2 linked regions of the Caenorhabditis elegans genome follow. The protein of the gene in region 1 purifies or fractionates together with the protein of each later gene. This does not show direct contact. Each region holds a gene or a part of one and is shown in the gene's direction. Other genes may lie near its edges.

Region 1 (8,616 bases):
ACATGCCAAAAATGTTTTTGTTTGGTGAAGCCAAGCAGGAGACGACAGCTGCTTATCGTGCAATTGTGAGTTTTTTAAAGAATTAATTATGTTCCCGAAAGTACAGTCGGTTCGAAAATAGTTCGAAAATATGTTTTTGTTTTGAGAATTAATTGCAATGCTTTCAAAATAAGATAACCTTAGTACTTAGTTTACTGAATTTTTAATTTTTTGATCATAAAGCTTCCACAGCTATAGATTTATAGTGTCGGGACTGTCCGGCGAGGCTAAAAACTTGGCTTTTGAAGCCGCCATAATGTTTTTAAAAAAATTTCAAAGTTCTTCACAAAATCATATATTTTGTTATGAAATGGCATAAGTACTACAAAAAAAATCAATTTTCTCATGCATAAGTAATTAAAAAAATTTTAAACAAGAAAACGTTCAATTTTTAAAAAGTGACAGCATAAAATAAAACGCAATGCGATTTGTATTGTTTTATTTCAGAACAAAGACCCCGACTTCTTCCGTCAATCTCCATATGGTCAATATTTGAAAATTGTGTGGCGATTGGCTCTTCTTTTCGGAATCATCAAAGCCGGAACTGTTGTCTACGATTTTGCCGTTCCAGAAGAGCAGCGACTCAAGTACAAGTACCGTAATCACGGACATCACGGTCACGACGATGCCCATGACTAAATTTCTGATTCACCACCGTCCGAACGTCTTCTTTTTGCATAGGAAGAAAGAGCCCATTTTAGTGTATTTGTAATCATTATCATTATCACAAAAAGATTTTTCTTGTAAAAAATGTCTTCCCATAAACATTCACAACATTGCAAAGAACATATCCAATATTCGAATTAGAAGACCACCCAGATGGAAATTAAATACGTCGGCTGGTTTTATTTGCGCCGTCAATTCAGTTATCGAAAAAATCATCATCGTCATAAACTTAGTTATTGATTATTTCCTGATAACTACTTATACGTTCAACCAAATCATTTCGTTATCAGCCACAGTTTATATGTGCCATAAGATTCTTCAGCACTCAACTTTTCCAGTTTCTTATTTTTTGAACTTACCAATGCTAGAAGTATAAACATAGAAATTCACATTCTTTCTAGTTAACTTCTCTGCAATGACTGGTCGTTTTTGGAAAACATGGTTTGTACTCAAACTATTCAATTTTTTTGCCGAATTCTTCTTCGAGCCCTTGCCATAGATTATTCATTGTGTGACATCTCTATTGTATTCTCTATTATTTAGTACTAACTTCTCTGGAATTCGACTTGCATGTCATACTATTAGAGTATATGGCCGTGATGATAGGCTTGTGATGATATACCTTGTGAGGGCTGTGAAAAACAACAAAAAATCGAATTTCTCCAGAAAACCAAAAAAAAAACACTCTATTTTTTTCGATTTTTCATCAATCCAACTAAAACATAACATCTTTGAAAAACAATTTTTCTGTTAATTTGGTCTGAAAAAAAAATCAAAAATCCATTTTTACGAAAAAACCAAAAAAGCAAAAAACCGACAGCTCTGCTATGATATACTCATCTATGATGTGATATAGATGAATGTCTAGCGATGATTTTTTATAGAAACAATATGCCCGATTATTGAGCCTTAAAAATTCACTAAAATTTCTCAATTAATCTTTGTTTGCCGAGTTTGACATATAAGTTGCTAGAAGCTATTGATCTTTTCCATTTTCCAACAACAAATATTTGACCTTCAATACAACAACACTAATTTATTAGCACAATCACTATCAAATCTGCACGTACTTTTGTATTTATTTAATGATTTAATCAAGAGTCTTTTATCAAACTACATAGATATTCTAAGTGTCACATGAAAATCAGTTGGCAAATATATACATTTTAAAACTATTTTATAAACCGTTTCAAGACAAGTACACTTGAAGCTATCTCTGATTACTAAAATACTATCAAGATCTATCTCTTCAGTTATTGATGTTCTTACATGTATTGCTATTGACATAAAATTCTACGTATTTACAGAACAAATGTTGATATTCCTGTTTTTGCTGTTTCTTTCAGCTCCACTATGCAAGTTTGTATTGTATCCAGTGATATACGCGTTCCTTAAATGGAGACATCCGGTCAAGTGAGTACTAATGTGATTATGGACCCAGTATGGGGCAATTGATCACTTTTTTGTTTACGACCCAAACTGGTTATCTATATTGAAATTCGAGTTTTTTGTCAATTGTGATTTGATACTATCAGTTGATTAACAAGTGAGCACACTTTTTTTTTTGAATGAATAGCAGAAACCATACTTTGATAAATTGACAAAAAGTTGAAACTTCTATCTAGATTTCTATGGAAAATATGAACGATGACTATCCGATTCGTTCACTCTTATAGTATTTAAAGAAAAGACATGTGCTTGAATAGATAAAAGATTGATTTAAAAAATTACTCAAACGTTTTTGCAATACTTTAAATACCACTCATTTTTTTTCGCTGATCGAAATTTGGAAATCGTACTTTTAAAACATTTTCAAAATAAAATCTTTAACTGTTCCCTTCTTGCATATTGATGGTATTCATGCATATTGTCTTTTTATAAGTTCTAGTGAATTACCGAGATTTTTTTGATTTTTTTTAAACTAAAAAAGGCTACAGTAGACTCAATACAATTTCAGAAAGTTCACTGCTCCAACTGCAAAGATTCGTGACATTATAAACCCTGATAAAGAGGAATGGGAACTGGAACATATTAAAAATGAAGTATGAATAATAAAAATAGACACGAAATTCGTCCTTTTTTTGCAGGAAATTCTAACAATTAGCGGTTCTGGAGAAGATAATAGTTTTGTGTATATTCAAGTTATAACAAAGAATGAAATTCATTTTGCTCATATTCGAGTTTTCGAAAAAGGAATTCTTTATTCCGGATCATACAAAGCAGTATTCTCCGATAATCGAACAATTTCATGTGGACCATTGCTAATTGAGCTTCGAAACCCATTCCGTAAATGGAGAATTAATTTCCGTGGATACCTGAATGATGCTAAAGGCAACTCTCATTTTGTTATACTTTCGGGATGGTGGAAATGTGTGTCGAATGCTAGATTTTTCTATTCAAATGCTCTTTTGAAGTCATTCAATGAAATTTACAATGACAAACCAACTGCACTGATTGAGAATTTGAAAACTATCGAAAAGTGACTGAATCATTTCTTACAAATACGTTATATCAACTTTAGGTACCGAAAAGGAAATGTGTTAAACCAAATGGGTGAATATCACGCAGAAATCAAAATTGGGAAAGATGAAGTTGTCGAACATAGATATAGAGGTTGAAAACACACGATACAAAAACCAAATTCCATCAAAGTTTCAGGACTTCGTCATAGAAATCCATTAGACTTGGAGACAAGTTCTACACATTTTCATACATACCTGAGCGTAAGGTTTATTTATCTTTTTTGTATTATAGAAAAGTAGAAATACTTTTTGGCTTATCCCGCTTAAGAAAGTAGTTTTCAGGATGCAAATGCAATTTCCTATCGTGTCAACTCTGTAGATGAAAAGAAATCAGTTAGTCACGGAGTGGGATTCCGTTCAGATCACAGTGCTCGTCCAATAATTATTGATAATTCTCATTCCCTTGAGTCAGATAATATGCTTCCAGTTCAATTCAAATATGTTTCACGTGGACTTCTCCCTCTTGAAATGAGAAAAGGACGAAAATTATGTCATTTCACGTTTATTCGAGAAGACAACAAGGTTGTCGACGTTACTGCGTTAGAAGTTAATTCTGCAATTTTTACGGGAGTTGGATTTGTGGTTAGAGTGAGAGAGGCAATTCATGAAGTTACAACTAAACTTCCCGATAGTTTCCCGGAATATCATGCAACTGAATCAGAAAAGATGAAATCAGTAGTCTCATTCAATCACAGAGCATGTCAGGATAAAATGTTAACTGGCGGAAAAGGTGCGAATTTAGCAAGACTTCAAGCAATCACCGATGATGTAAGTTCTGAAAGTAAGCATATACAATGTTGAAATAGATTTTCAGTTCCATGTGCCTCCTGGAATAGTTGTCACTACCGCAGCTTTCAACAAGCATGTAATTGCGAATCCAAATGTTTTAGAAGAAATAAAACTTCTCGATATCAACGATAAAAATGCCGAGTATTATGAGGATGTTGGTAAAAGGTAATAAAATAAGTTATCAATCCAATATTTAGAAACATGACATATTTTAGAATTGAAGGGCTTCTTTTCGAAAGTGAAGTGTCTCAAGAACTGCAAAAAGAAATTAAGGAGTGGTTACCGCGTTCTGAATACTATGCAGTAAGATCATCTGCAGTTGGAGAAGATGGAGCAGATCTTTCATCAGCTGGACAACTGGAAAGTTACTTGGATGTGATTGAAATTGATATAGTTGATAAACTGAAGCTGTGTTGGGGCTCTAATTTTAGAAGAGAAGTATTGAATTACAGAAAGTAGGTTTTAACAAGTTAAAATTTCAATCACAATGTGACGTTTACAGAAACTACGGTCAGCAGCTTAATCCGTCAATGGCTGTAGTTATTCAAGAAATGGATCGAAACGGAGTGGCTGGAGTTATGTTCACCGCAAATCCAGTAAAATTAGATCGTGGAGAAATTGTGATAAATGCATTGAAAGGAAGTGGGGAACAAATTGTGAGCGGTGTGACGACACCAGATGAGATTTACGTAAATCGAATCCATAAAACGGTGGTCATAAATGTAAGTTGGGTTTTCTTAAAAGGATTTTTGCTATATTTTACCTTTTTGTCAATAAAGAAGTACTACAAAAATATTTTCAGAAAGTTGGCGTCGATTGTTGCTTGGATGACTATCAGATTGAGAAACTTACCAAAGTTGGAGAGTACTTGGAGAGAATATTTGGAAAACCTCAAGATATTGAATTTGTTGTTAGAAATCAAATGGTTAATATTGTTCAAAGTCGAGATATTACTGGTTTGGATAAGGAGACTCAATTTGAAATGTGCACAGAATATAATTCGCCAAGTATTCATGACAAAGAAATTCTAACAAATGCAAATGTTGGAGAAGTTCTTCCAGTTCCGGTTAATGCCATGGAAGCTCATAATTTAACTGGAATGTTTGATAAAGTCATTGCAGTAAGAATAACAATATAATTAAAAAAATTAAATTATAAACAAAATTTCAGTCAATGACATTTCAAGAGCTCAATGATGTTGTGCCGGCACATACTTCAATCGGCTTTTCCGTTGCACACCGTAAAATATTTTTCAATTTGGGAGAAGTTGTTCTTCGAATTTGGGAACTGGTTGAAAAAGATCGAATTACTGATATAGTGATTGCTGGAGAAACTCTTTTCAATGCGGAAATGTTCCAACAAGCAGCTCATCAATACGGAAAAGTTTCACCTTTCTTTCCGTTGAAGAGAATGTTCAACATGATCAAGTTAATATATTTTACATCAAACAGTGTGAAGGCGAAAATTGTCAAAATCGACGAGGAAGCAAAGAAACTGGTGCCAAATGATAAAATGACGATTGAGATAGTATTCAAAAAATATGACGAGCTTGAGAAGTTGTGGTGTGATGCAAGCCATTGTCACACCAGTCTTTCAATGTTCTCTTCTTTCACATATGTGCTATGTGGAATGCTTATTCGTGGAAGTGACAGTTAGTTTTTGTGGAAAGTGTTGAAAGGCCTTCAAATGATATAGAGTTTAACTGGAATTCTTAAGGAAGGGTTAAGCTCTCCTTAAAATACTATTTTTGATAGGTTTTTAAGAGTTCACACAATTGATGATTACGCATTAATCATTTAAAATTGTGTTTGTTATTTAGCAGCATACTTGAAAATACCTATAAAATTATGATTTCTGTGTCAAATCTGTCCTCCTTTTGATTCTTGAAATTAAGTATTTCTAAGTTGTAATTATTCAAATTTTATAGAATCTGATATCAACTTCCATTCAAAATATTTTTCAGATGGACCTCTTTCCAATGACAATATATCCGATTTTGCCAATGTGTTCTCCAATAACTCTCGTGGAGATGTAATCAGTGCTGACGTTCCAAATTCTTTAAAGAAACTTGCAAAAACCATTCGAGAAGAGAGTATTGATAAAGAATTTTGTGCTGCAGAAGACGATGAGGCTTTGAAAACACTTGAAAACGGAAAGAAAAGCTCTGACGAATTGAGAAGATTTCTAGAATTGCATGGACATCGAGGGCCGAAAGAACTTTATTTAGATGCTACCACCTGGGAAGAGGACACCAATTTATTAGTTCATACAATTAAAAGTATGTTGGCTTGCCCAGAAACGTCTGGGAAGACTATTGAGAATGAAGATGATATTATTGATAACTTGAAATGCAAGCCGACTGGTATTAGAAGGTGGGAAACTTTTTGTAACCATTTGAAAAAAATGCATTTACACATTTCAGAAGACTTTTGAAATATTTCATCGGTCAGACACACCGTGGAGTTTCATTTAGAGAAACAGCAAAAAATCATTTAGTTTCCACGACACATTCTCTTCGAAAGGCATGCAGAATGGTTGGAAAGAAGTTGTATGAAAAAGTGAATTAATTTAAAATTTGCTGCAAGTAATTTTCAATTTTAGGGATATCTTCCTGATCCAAATCTTTGGATGCACTTCTCAATGGACGAACTTAAAGAATTGAATGCAACAAGAAGTGCAAAACTTGTTTCCAGAGCAATCAGAAGAAAACAGATTTCATCGAAGTTTGAAGGTCTCCAATTTCCACTTGTTTCTCATGGATACATGAATCCAATTAAAATAGAAATCGCTGAAACTGATGCAAATATTGGTATCATTCTTCGAGGAACTACAGTATGCGAAGGAAAAGTTAGAGCCAGAGCAAGAGTTGCCAAAACATTGGAAGAAGCAAAAGAGACAAAACCAGGAGAGATTCTCATTACAAAATACACGGATATCTGTTGGTCTCCATTTTTCCCAATTATCAGTGGAATTGTCACCGAGATTGGAGGACTACTCAGTCATGGGGCTGTTGTTGCAAGAGAGTATGGACTACCAAGTTTGATTGCAGTTTCCAATGCAACATATCACTTTAAAACTGGTGATCTTGTTGAACTGGACTCTATTTCTGGCACAATTAGCCGACTGGACACTAATCAGGAATAAATTTATGTAATCAATTTTTTTCAAATAAAACTGTTTTATGTGAGTGTTTATTCAAAATTTGATATTCTAGAACACAAATAAAAAAGATGCGTATGTTCACATTGGTCAGTAAATCAGTAAATAAAAAATATGTTAGTACACGGAACTTGTTACCATGACAGCTCTACTCCTGAGACTGGGAAAATGGTCTGTTGCCATTGACGTACGTACCTAGAAAAATAAGACATGTTTCACAGAATTATATATCATTTACCTTGGTACTAAAATACATAATAGTCCATGGATGATTGAAAGTGAGTATGTCACTAACAAAAGGCATCAATGCTTTTGCAGTTTGGGCTCCGACTGACATTCCTTCTGATGGTGCGGCGCGAAGAATCAACTAAAAGTATTGAAATATTGAATAACTGAGGAGGCAAAACCTAAATACCGTATCTCCGAGAGCTAATAGCTGAATAATGAACGAAACAAAGCTGACAGTAAACAGATTTCTCTCTGCACCACTGATCCTTGTTGGAAGAAGAGTCAGACGAATTATTGAGACAATGTTTGCAGTTGCGGTAAATAATGTAAAAACTATCATGAATGTGACTAGCGAGTTTAGCACTTCTGTTGAGTTCTGAAAAACGAAAAAATTGAATATATTCATAAATTCAGACTTTAAAAATGTTTTGAGTTCATGTACGCTTTGACACACTTTTAAAAAAAGTATCTCATTGAGTTTGAATACATTTGCAACAAATTGTAAAATTAAAACATACGGCTACAGTTTTTGTTGCAAATCCTCCCAATGTTGGAGAATAGATAAAGTATGCGTTGTTTGTCGCAATTGGCCATGTCATAATCATAGGGAATATAATAACTATCATAATAAGGAAAGGAAGACTCGGGCGCCATATCTGAAATAACAAAAACACTTAATAAAAATCGTAATAAAAATTCTCTCGAGGTCTTCTAAATAGCATGAACTCCTAACTCACTTTCTCATAACTGTCAACAAAAAATACCATCGTCAAACGGTTGAGAGAAGATAAAAATGTCATGAAATACTGAATGAATGCCATGCAATAGTGAATGGTAAAGAATACTTGAAGAGGAAAATTATCTTCTTCTGTAGAAGAATTTCTCTCAAAAAGAAATGCAAATGTACAATTGTTGCAAGTATTTTGAGGGGCGCGAAGAGTAACAAATGAATTGGCAAATGTTACCATGTTCTGAAATTCATTATAATGAAGTACAGTGAAGACATTTTCAATGGCGGTAGAAAAATTATCTTTTTCATATAAGCTATTTAGGAAAGTACCATATTGTATGTTCTCTATTTTATGAGCATTTTTAAATATTGCACTGGACTACGTTTTTCGAAAATTAGGATCGCAGTCTCTGTCACTGCACCATTTTTCAGTTGCGAGTCACATAATGATAGTTTGAGCATTTTAATGAACTTAGTTTTTTT
Region 2 (7,326 bases), 4.1 Mb from region 1:
CTTTTATTAGTCCAGGTAATACGGTAATCTGGTTTTTCACAAAACAGCCCTCTGAAAATTGTTTACAAGTGCAGCCCCAGTATTGTGTCTTATTTGGAATTATTCGGGAAAAGCTTGAGTTTATGATCTACTAATTTTTTAAAGTTTGTGCACTTTCCATTATCAGAAATGTTGTGGAAAGCTCTTTCTGTAAGGTAAAAAAGATATTCTGATGAAATAAATATTTTATTTTACATACCGTCGTGCAGGAAACAATTCCAAGAAACATATTTGATTACTTTTTTAAAATTATTTTAAGCTACAGTATGAAGGGATTCTACCCGCAGTTTAAAATATTTCCCATCTGATAAAAACTTTTTTTTTAATCCTAGGCTACATCGTAGCACCCTAAAGCTTTCCCATTTCGACCAGCTGTGTTTGCATCCACGAATTTTCTCATAACCGCCTGCAGTGAAGATTCTCCGATAGTAGGTCAACCAGACAAACTTTCCCTCTCTATCATTTCGCCCTGCTTGTGTGTTTCCTTACTCTACATCAAACTGTTATCGGACATATTTTTCGTCGACATTTTGACCGGCGGTTATTGTACTTTTATAATTTTCCAGTGCGTTTTTAAGCTGAACTTTCATTTGAATTTTGGCGGGTTCTTTTGTAGCTTGCTCGATTTCCAGGTGACACAATTGATAGGGCTGGGAGATCTTTCAAACTTAAATCTAGAGTTGCACCAGGGAATATCATCTATATACTCGTACGATAATCTGAAATAATCGAATATCATTTTAAAACTACCGAAAATTCTTGGATTTTTCAGATTTTTCAGGAAAAATTTTGGTAAATAGCCAATTTTACCAAATTTAAAACAGGTTTTTTTGAGGAATTTGGAGCAATGCGGCATGTTTGAACTTTTTTTTATAGTAGGTAATTTTAGCACTGGTTTTAAACAGTACTCCCAATTCTTTTAAAATTATCAAAAACTCTTGATATCCCAACTTATTATTTTACTTCTGAAATTTATTTCCAAAATGAAAATATATTATTTTTAGTAGATAAATTGCACCATATTCTTTCAAACCACCTGCACCAAACCTCACAGGTCTGACTACAATCTAGTTACGACCCCTTTAAATCTAGATATTGATCGGCCTTCTATCTAGATTTTGTCCCATTGTTCCTTTTATCGACTAGAATTGTGCACACCATATGGTGTTCAATATTGCCTTTTTCCTCTTTTCCAGATACGTGTTCTACTTTTTTGTTTTCAGTTTGTTTTTGTTTTTTATAAAGCATTGAAAGTAAAATTTTTTTTAGAAATGCATATTGTTTAACTAGAATTTTTGATTTTTCCGGAATAATATTTGTTCTGTGTTACAAAATTTTTCAGAAAGCCTTTCAAAAATTTTGAAACTGAAATCTTTTTTCAAATCTTCCAAATAAAAAACATATTGAAGAATATATGACGGGTTTTTTCTAAAAAATTATTTTTCCGCAATGCTTTATTTGCAGGTTTTTCTCCAAATTTTGGTTGACAGAAAATAAATTCTATTCATAAAATATGCCGTATTTCCTTCTCACTCTACATCTCTCCATTTTCTGATGGGATTTAGAAACCCTATATTTGTTGTGCTCAGGCTTTTTTTTCGCTCATTCAACAACACGGAACAAAACTCTCGTTTTTCATCTTATTTTTTGCTTGAAGCAGACTCTGCTCACTCTACTCCACTTTGTACTCTACTCTTTTTGCTTCAAAAGCCATCGTTCTCTTATCTCAGCCATTTTTTGAAGAGTTTCCAGCACATGATTCTCTCGAAATATTTTGTTTCCTATCGATAAGATTATGAGAATGAAAGTCAACTAGAATACGATCAGAATACAATTTTGATCTTTCTCCTTTAAAAAGTCAGCAATAAGTGTAGACGGAGACTGGAGAAAAGGCAAAGTTAAATTGATAATGTAGATTAATTAGTTTTCTTTTTTTGTGATTCTCATCCCCCAATTTTATCACCACAACATCACTCACGTTCATCAAATTTGTTGTTTTTTCGTCTGCAGCCTTCTAAACTTTATTACCTATCCTGCCAATTTCAACTCTTCAATTTCAAAAACCTTACCATAATTTCAGATGTCGTCCAACAAAAAGAAAACAGTTCGTTCACCATATCCTTTTCCAACAAAATTCCCATCGCCAATTGAACAAGCATCCTACAAGACCTACGTAAGTTTTATCAAATCAGAAAATTGGCTAATTTACCTCAATTGACCTTTTCTACGTGTTGTGGGAAGTCAGAGAAAAACTAGTTGTTAAGTGGGTAGAATTTGGAATTTCGAATTGGATCTAGTTTAGGAAACAAAACACAGAAAACAATTTTTTTTTAAAACATTACCTTTTTCAAAGTTACCAAACAACCATGAAGTATCTATATTTTCAGAATTGGATTGAGAACACACTTTGGCCTATCAAACCGATTCCATTCGTTGCCACAACCGTTGCTCTGGCGGCCACCCTACACTACAAATACCCAGAAAATGCGATTCTTGATCTTCTTCCAAAGTTCGGATCGGAAGTTGCTGAAATTGCAAAAACCACTGCAGTCGCGGCAATTGGATCCTACGCAGGAGTATTCACACTTCGAAAACTTCTCAAGCACTTCTACTTCTCATACAAAGGATTCTTGTTTGACAACCCAAAGAAGCCATGTTTGAAAACGAAAATTTGGGGTGTAAGTTATTTTGTAACACCATCAGAATTTATTGTTCAAATTTCAGATTGTCCGACACATTCTCTCAATTTCCCCACCAATCCTTGAATCTTGTGATCGCCTTCTTCCGAGTCTCCCGGTACCAGCTCTCAAAGACACTATTTCTGAATACCTTGACTCCATGAAACATATTCTATCAGAACAAGAGTACGAGATTGTCGCCAAGCAAGCACATGAGTTTCTGGAAAACGAGGGAAAGAAGCTTCAGAGATACACGTGGATCTACTCTTTGTTCACCGACAACTATGTCACCTCGTTCTGGCAAAAGTATGCATATCTTCATGGGAGATACCCACTTATGATTAATAGCAGTGTTGCTCATTGTGACTTGCTCCGAGACAAAGAAGCAACACGAGCTCACAGAGCAGCTCGAGTAACCTGGATTGAAGTCATGTCGCATCTTGCAATTGATCGTCAACAGTACAAGGCGGTATGTTTTTTTTGTGATTCCTGATCGTTTGTATTTTGCCCTATTTCTTATCAGTGAATGTTACACGTCGCAATCTTGCACCGAAAAAAACCAAACAATTGTTTTGATAACATTTTATCATCAATATGAATGTTTCCAGCTTGGCGACGGACTTGTCTGCACCAGACATTACAAAAATATGTATGCAGTAACCCGAGAACCAGGGAAGAAGATTGATCAGCTGATATTGCACGGAATTCAGAAGCACATTGTAGTGGTGTTGCGTGGAAAATACTATAAGATTCACGTGGTTGATGATAAGAACAACATCTACACTGTGGAACAATTGACGAAGTACGTAAAAGTTAATCGAAAAAGGATCTGCACTACTGATATTTTATAACATCAGAGTTTATTATATTAGTCGCAAGACGCAAGTTGGAAAAATATTCTAACCAGGAAATTGCATATGGTGTAATGGAAATTGTAAAGCAAATGGCATATTTTCTAAAAGCTCATCAAAAGCTATGAAGAAAAAAGTTGCTAAAAGTTTTATCGTTTGCTAACTTTGGCAACTGCCGATATCATCTTCGAAATTGAATTCAAATATTTTTGTTAAAAACAACTCATTCAGAGATGCTGAAAAATGCGAACATCTTACTGTTAAATACCATTTTTTCTTAAAAATTCCAAAGTATAAGCTCAGCAACAATTTATTTTAGAGCAACGCTAAAACTACTGAAACTTCAAAAAATGGGGGTAGCCAAAAATACAGAGTTAATTACATATTTAAATTTTAAACACGTTATATATACACGAAATTTCAAAAATTTATTTTAAACGCATTTGGTTATCTTTATGGAAAATATGGAATTTCAAATGTGCACTGATTTTCAAATTTTTTTAAACTGAGAATTTTGGAAAATATGGAGTTTCAAATGTGCACTGATTTTCAATTTTTTTTAAACTGAGAATAATGGTGAATATGGAGTTTCAAATGTGCACTGATTTTTAAATTTCTTTGAACTGAGATGCATATAAGCGTCAAAAAAACATGCTAAAAATTTCAAAATTTAATGTCAGCAACTTGCCAAACATTTTAATAAAAATTCCAAGTAAAGCTTTAAAAATCAATATAAATAATTAATTCTAGAATTTTCCACGAAATGATTTCCCGAGACGAGAAGGAGGAAGGGGTTATTGGAAAAATCGCAGCATTGACCCACGATACCAGGGACTCTTGGCACAGAAACCGTCAAAAGTATTTCCTTGGAAACGTGAAAAATGCTCAAATCCTCAAGGAAATCGAGTGTGCTGTATTCTTTTTCACACTCGATGAGAATGATGATTATGGATATGATGAGAAGAAACCCGAAGTTCTCAGCAACTTCCTTGCCAATTGTCTTTCTGGAGATGGAACTAATCGATGGGTTGATAAGTCTCTTAATTATATTTGTTCGAAAAATGCTCGATGCGGTGGAACAACTGAGCATTCTATTGCGGATGGAGCAGAATTTGATCATATTATGGAAAACTTTGTATATGTAGATTTGGAAGTTTTGAAATACAAATCAATTGAAGAGCAAGAGAAAATGGCAGTTATTGAAGAGAATGATAAGAAATCTCTGAAGCTTGCTACTCCATTGAACTTTGAAGTTCCAGATCAAGAGGTAAGCTTCATTTTTTGCCTTACCTTTCAGGTCAAAATAATCATTTTTCAGATGCTCTCCGAGATCACTCGCTGCTACGATGCTCATCAAATCGCCAAGAATGACCTTGACCTGTATGCCCTTGCATTCCGTGATTTTGGAAAAGGACGTATCAAGAAGTGTGGTGTCTCACCAGATGCATTCATTCAAATGGCTATTCAACTTGCCAACTATCGAGATCAAGGCAAATTTGTGCTCACATATGAACCAGCATCAGCTCGATTCTTTGCAAACTCGAGGACCGAAACTTTGAGAACAGTTAACGATCACTCTTGTGAATTTGTGGAAGCTATGTTGAATGCAAATGAAACGGTAAGTTAATTTGAAGTTATTAAGACGATGAAAAATTCAAATTTCAGAAAGAAGCCAAGATTGCTCTTTTGAAAAAAGCTTGTGAAACTCATGTTCTTCGAAACAAGAAGTGTATGGTTGGGCAAGGAGTCGATCGTCATCTCTTTGTTCTGTATATTTTATCTCAAGGAACGGGGATTCAGAGTCCTTTCCTTGACAATTATATTAATCAAAAGTGGAAGCTATCTACCTCACATGTGAGTAATCATTAAAATAAGATGACATAGTGCTATGTATTTGGCAGTTGTATCACGTAACTTTCTAATAATGAGCTGAAGGATTTTAATTCAAACATTTTTCAACAATTGCTTTTTCTGGATTTTCCTAATTATTTTTTTTTTAACTTTACAATTTGAACATATCCTATTCCAGGTTCCAAACGTGACTAATCAATGCGACGAGGACACTGATTCAGACAACACTTGGCTCGGAGCATGCTTCGGAGCAGTCGCTGCTGATGGCTACGGAATCTGCTATCGCTTTGGAGGAAACCACGGAATCTTTGCAAACATCACAAGTTATCATTCCGCTGCCAACACTGATTCAACAAAGTTTGCAAAGTTGCTCTCCGAATCGTTCCACGAACTTTCAAACCTTTTCGTTTGAACCATCCCATTTTGTAACAAACGGTTTTATACCCATAACTTGTACCAATTTGAACTCATTCTGCACTATCATTCTAACCTGTTTCATATATTACTGTCACTCAGTCAATAAAATAATTTTTATTAAATAAAAAATTCTCTCGTGTATGACCCATTCAAAAATCACCTGAAATGACTCATGACCAGTTCACGATCTATGCTCAATTCTTGGTGTACACCAGACTATGACTCATGTAAAACTGGTGAAATGTCAAACAGAGTTTCCGATCAAAAATGGCAATTGTACGAGAATTTCATTTTTGATAGCATCACGTTGTGTGTGCCGATGGAAAGATGATTTTAGCACAAAAACTGCAAAAAACGGTTTTTATAGTGCACCAAAAAAGATGGAAAAAGATCTGAAAATGAATGAAATTGAAACTTAAATCTCTTAAGATTAAATATGAAATTTTGCCAATCTTTTCGGTAGGTTTTTGAAATCATGGAAACAGTTCTGGAAAGTTTGCAAACTTGACTATTTGTTTAGCTGACAAATTGTTGATGTGACTTGAATTCGCACCCTTTTCTAGATGAACTAATCCAAATTAACAAACGTAACGAAACATTTTCGAGGACAACAATCCTTTCATATTCATAACTACAGAAATCTGAACACCTTTTCAAAACATTATTTAACATCTAATTTTTTAAAATTCGTGGCATTTGTATGTAGAATTATGTTGTAAAATGATGTAATGATAGTGAGAAATCATTTAGATCTGTAACCTAAATACAATTTTTATACCCTCTATTAGACAAAACTTGATATTTAAAACTTTTTGTATTTCCAAAATGATGTTCCGTCATGCTGAAAAACAAAATAAACCAACAAAAAATTATGCTTCGAGCTGATTACTTGCAAATTATTAACAGAAACATTTCATTCCTAATCAGACGCAACGATTGAATTTGATTTTTCTTCCCCATCAGTTGAGTAATTACATCCTCTTTCATTGAATTCCAACTTTTAGTCTTATTCAGTTCTTTATTTGCCATTGATTTCCCAAATGTAGAAGTGTGTCTGATACCTCCCATTGATTCTTAGTCTTTAAGCAAATAAAACTCGCCTGATGTCATAGAAATATCGATAAGAGTTTGAATAAAAGTCGTGGCATTTCCTCACTTCTCTATCGGTTCAATCGGTCTTACTATCAACTAACATGCACTCCTATCACAACCCCGTGAGTTTTTGATTTTCTAGAATTTTCCAGTTTGGAAACTTCAAGTTTTCAATAAACCAAATTTCAGGGTGTCCCAACCGCTCTCTCGATCTTCGAGCCACTTCAAGATGGATCCACCATCTCTGTTCACGGACATGTTCGTCACGGACATCACAAGAACTTTGCCGTCGAGCTTTTGAGCGGACCAAATGTTGTTCTTCATGTCAACTTCCGTTTCCATCATGAACACGTCGTTGTCATGAACTCCCAGTTCAGTGGAATGTGGGGACCAGAAAT

Evidence for each region. The genes of interacting proteins can lie anywhere in the genome.
Region 2: the proteins of T21C9.6 (region 1) and cpt-6 fractionate together in Caenorhabditis elegans (co-fractionation; one large-scale study listed by BioGRID). This does not show direct contact.

Annotation. Positions count from the first base shown.
Region 1 is NC_003283.11:10,579,875-10,588,490, forward strand, and holds T21C9.6 (Phosphoenolpyruvate synthase), read left to right. Parts: upstream 1-2,012; 5' UTR 2,013-2,017; coding exon 2,018-2,118; intron 2,119-2,662; coding exon 2,663-2,747; intron 2,748-2,792; coding exon 2,793-3,184; intron 3,185-3,226; coding exon 3,227-3,318; intron 3,319-3,363; coding exon 3,364-3,428; intron 3,429-3,509; coding exon 3,510-3,995; intron 3,996-4,041; coding exon 4,042-4,181; intron 4,182-4,231; coding exon 4,232-4,471; intron 4,472-4,518; coding exon 4,519-4,738; intron 4,739-4,818; coding exon 4,819-5,136; intron 5,137-5,186; coding exon 5,187-5,667; intron 5,668-5,979; coding exon 5,980-6,388; intron 6,389-6,438; coding exon 6,439-6,574; intron 6,575-6,617; coding exon 6,618-7,160; 3' UTR 7,161-7,203; downstream 7,204-8,616. Other genes in the region: lpd-9 (LiPid Depleted), read left to right, coding at 1-65, 487-678; srg-32 (Serpentine receptor class gamma), read right to left, coding at 7,293-7,370, 7,414-7,542, 7,591-7,779, 7,922-8,059, 8,141-8,374.
Region 2 is NC_003283.11:6,488,715-6,496,040, reverse strand, and holds cpt-6 (Choline/carnitine acyltransferase domain-containing protein), read left to right. Parts: upstream 1-2,119; coding exon 2,120-2,212; intron 2,213-2,426; coding exon 2,427-2,717; intron 2,718-2,763; coding exon 2,764-3,186; intron 3,187-3,325; coding exon 3,326-3,519; intron 3,520-4,318; coding exon 4,319-4,835; intron 4,836-4,886; coding exon 4,887-5,186; intron 5,187-5,233; coding exon 5,234-5,422; intron 5,423-5,597; coding exon 5,598-5,831; 3' UTR 5,832-5,955; downstream 5,956-7,326. Other genes in the region: lec-10 (Galectin), read left to right, coding at 7,030-7,050, 7,118-7,326.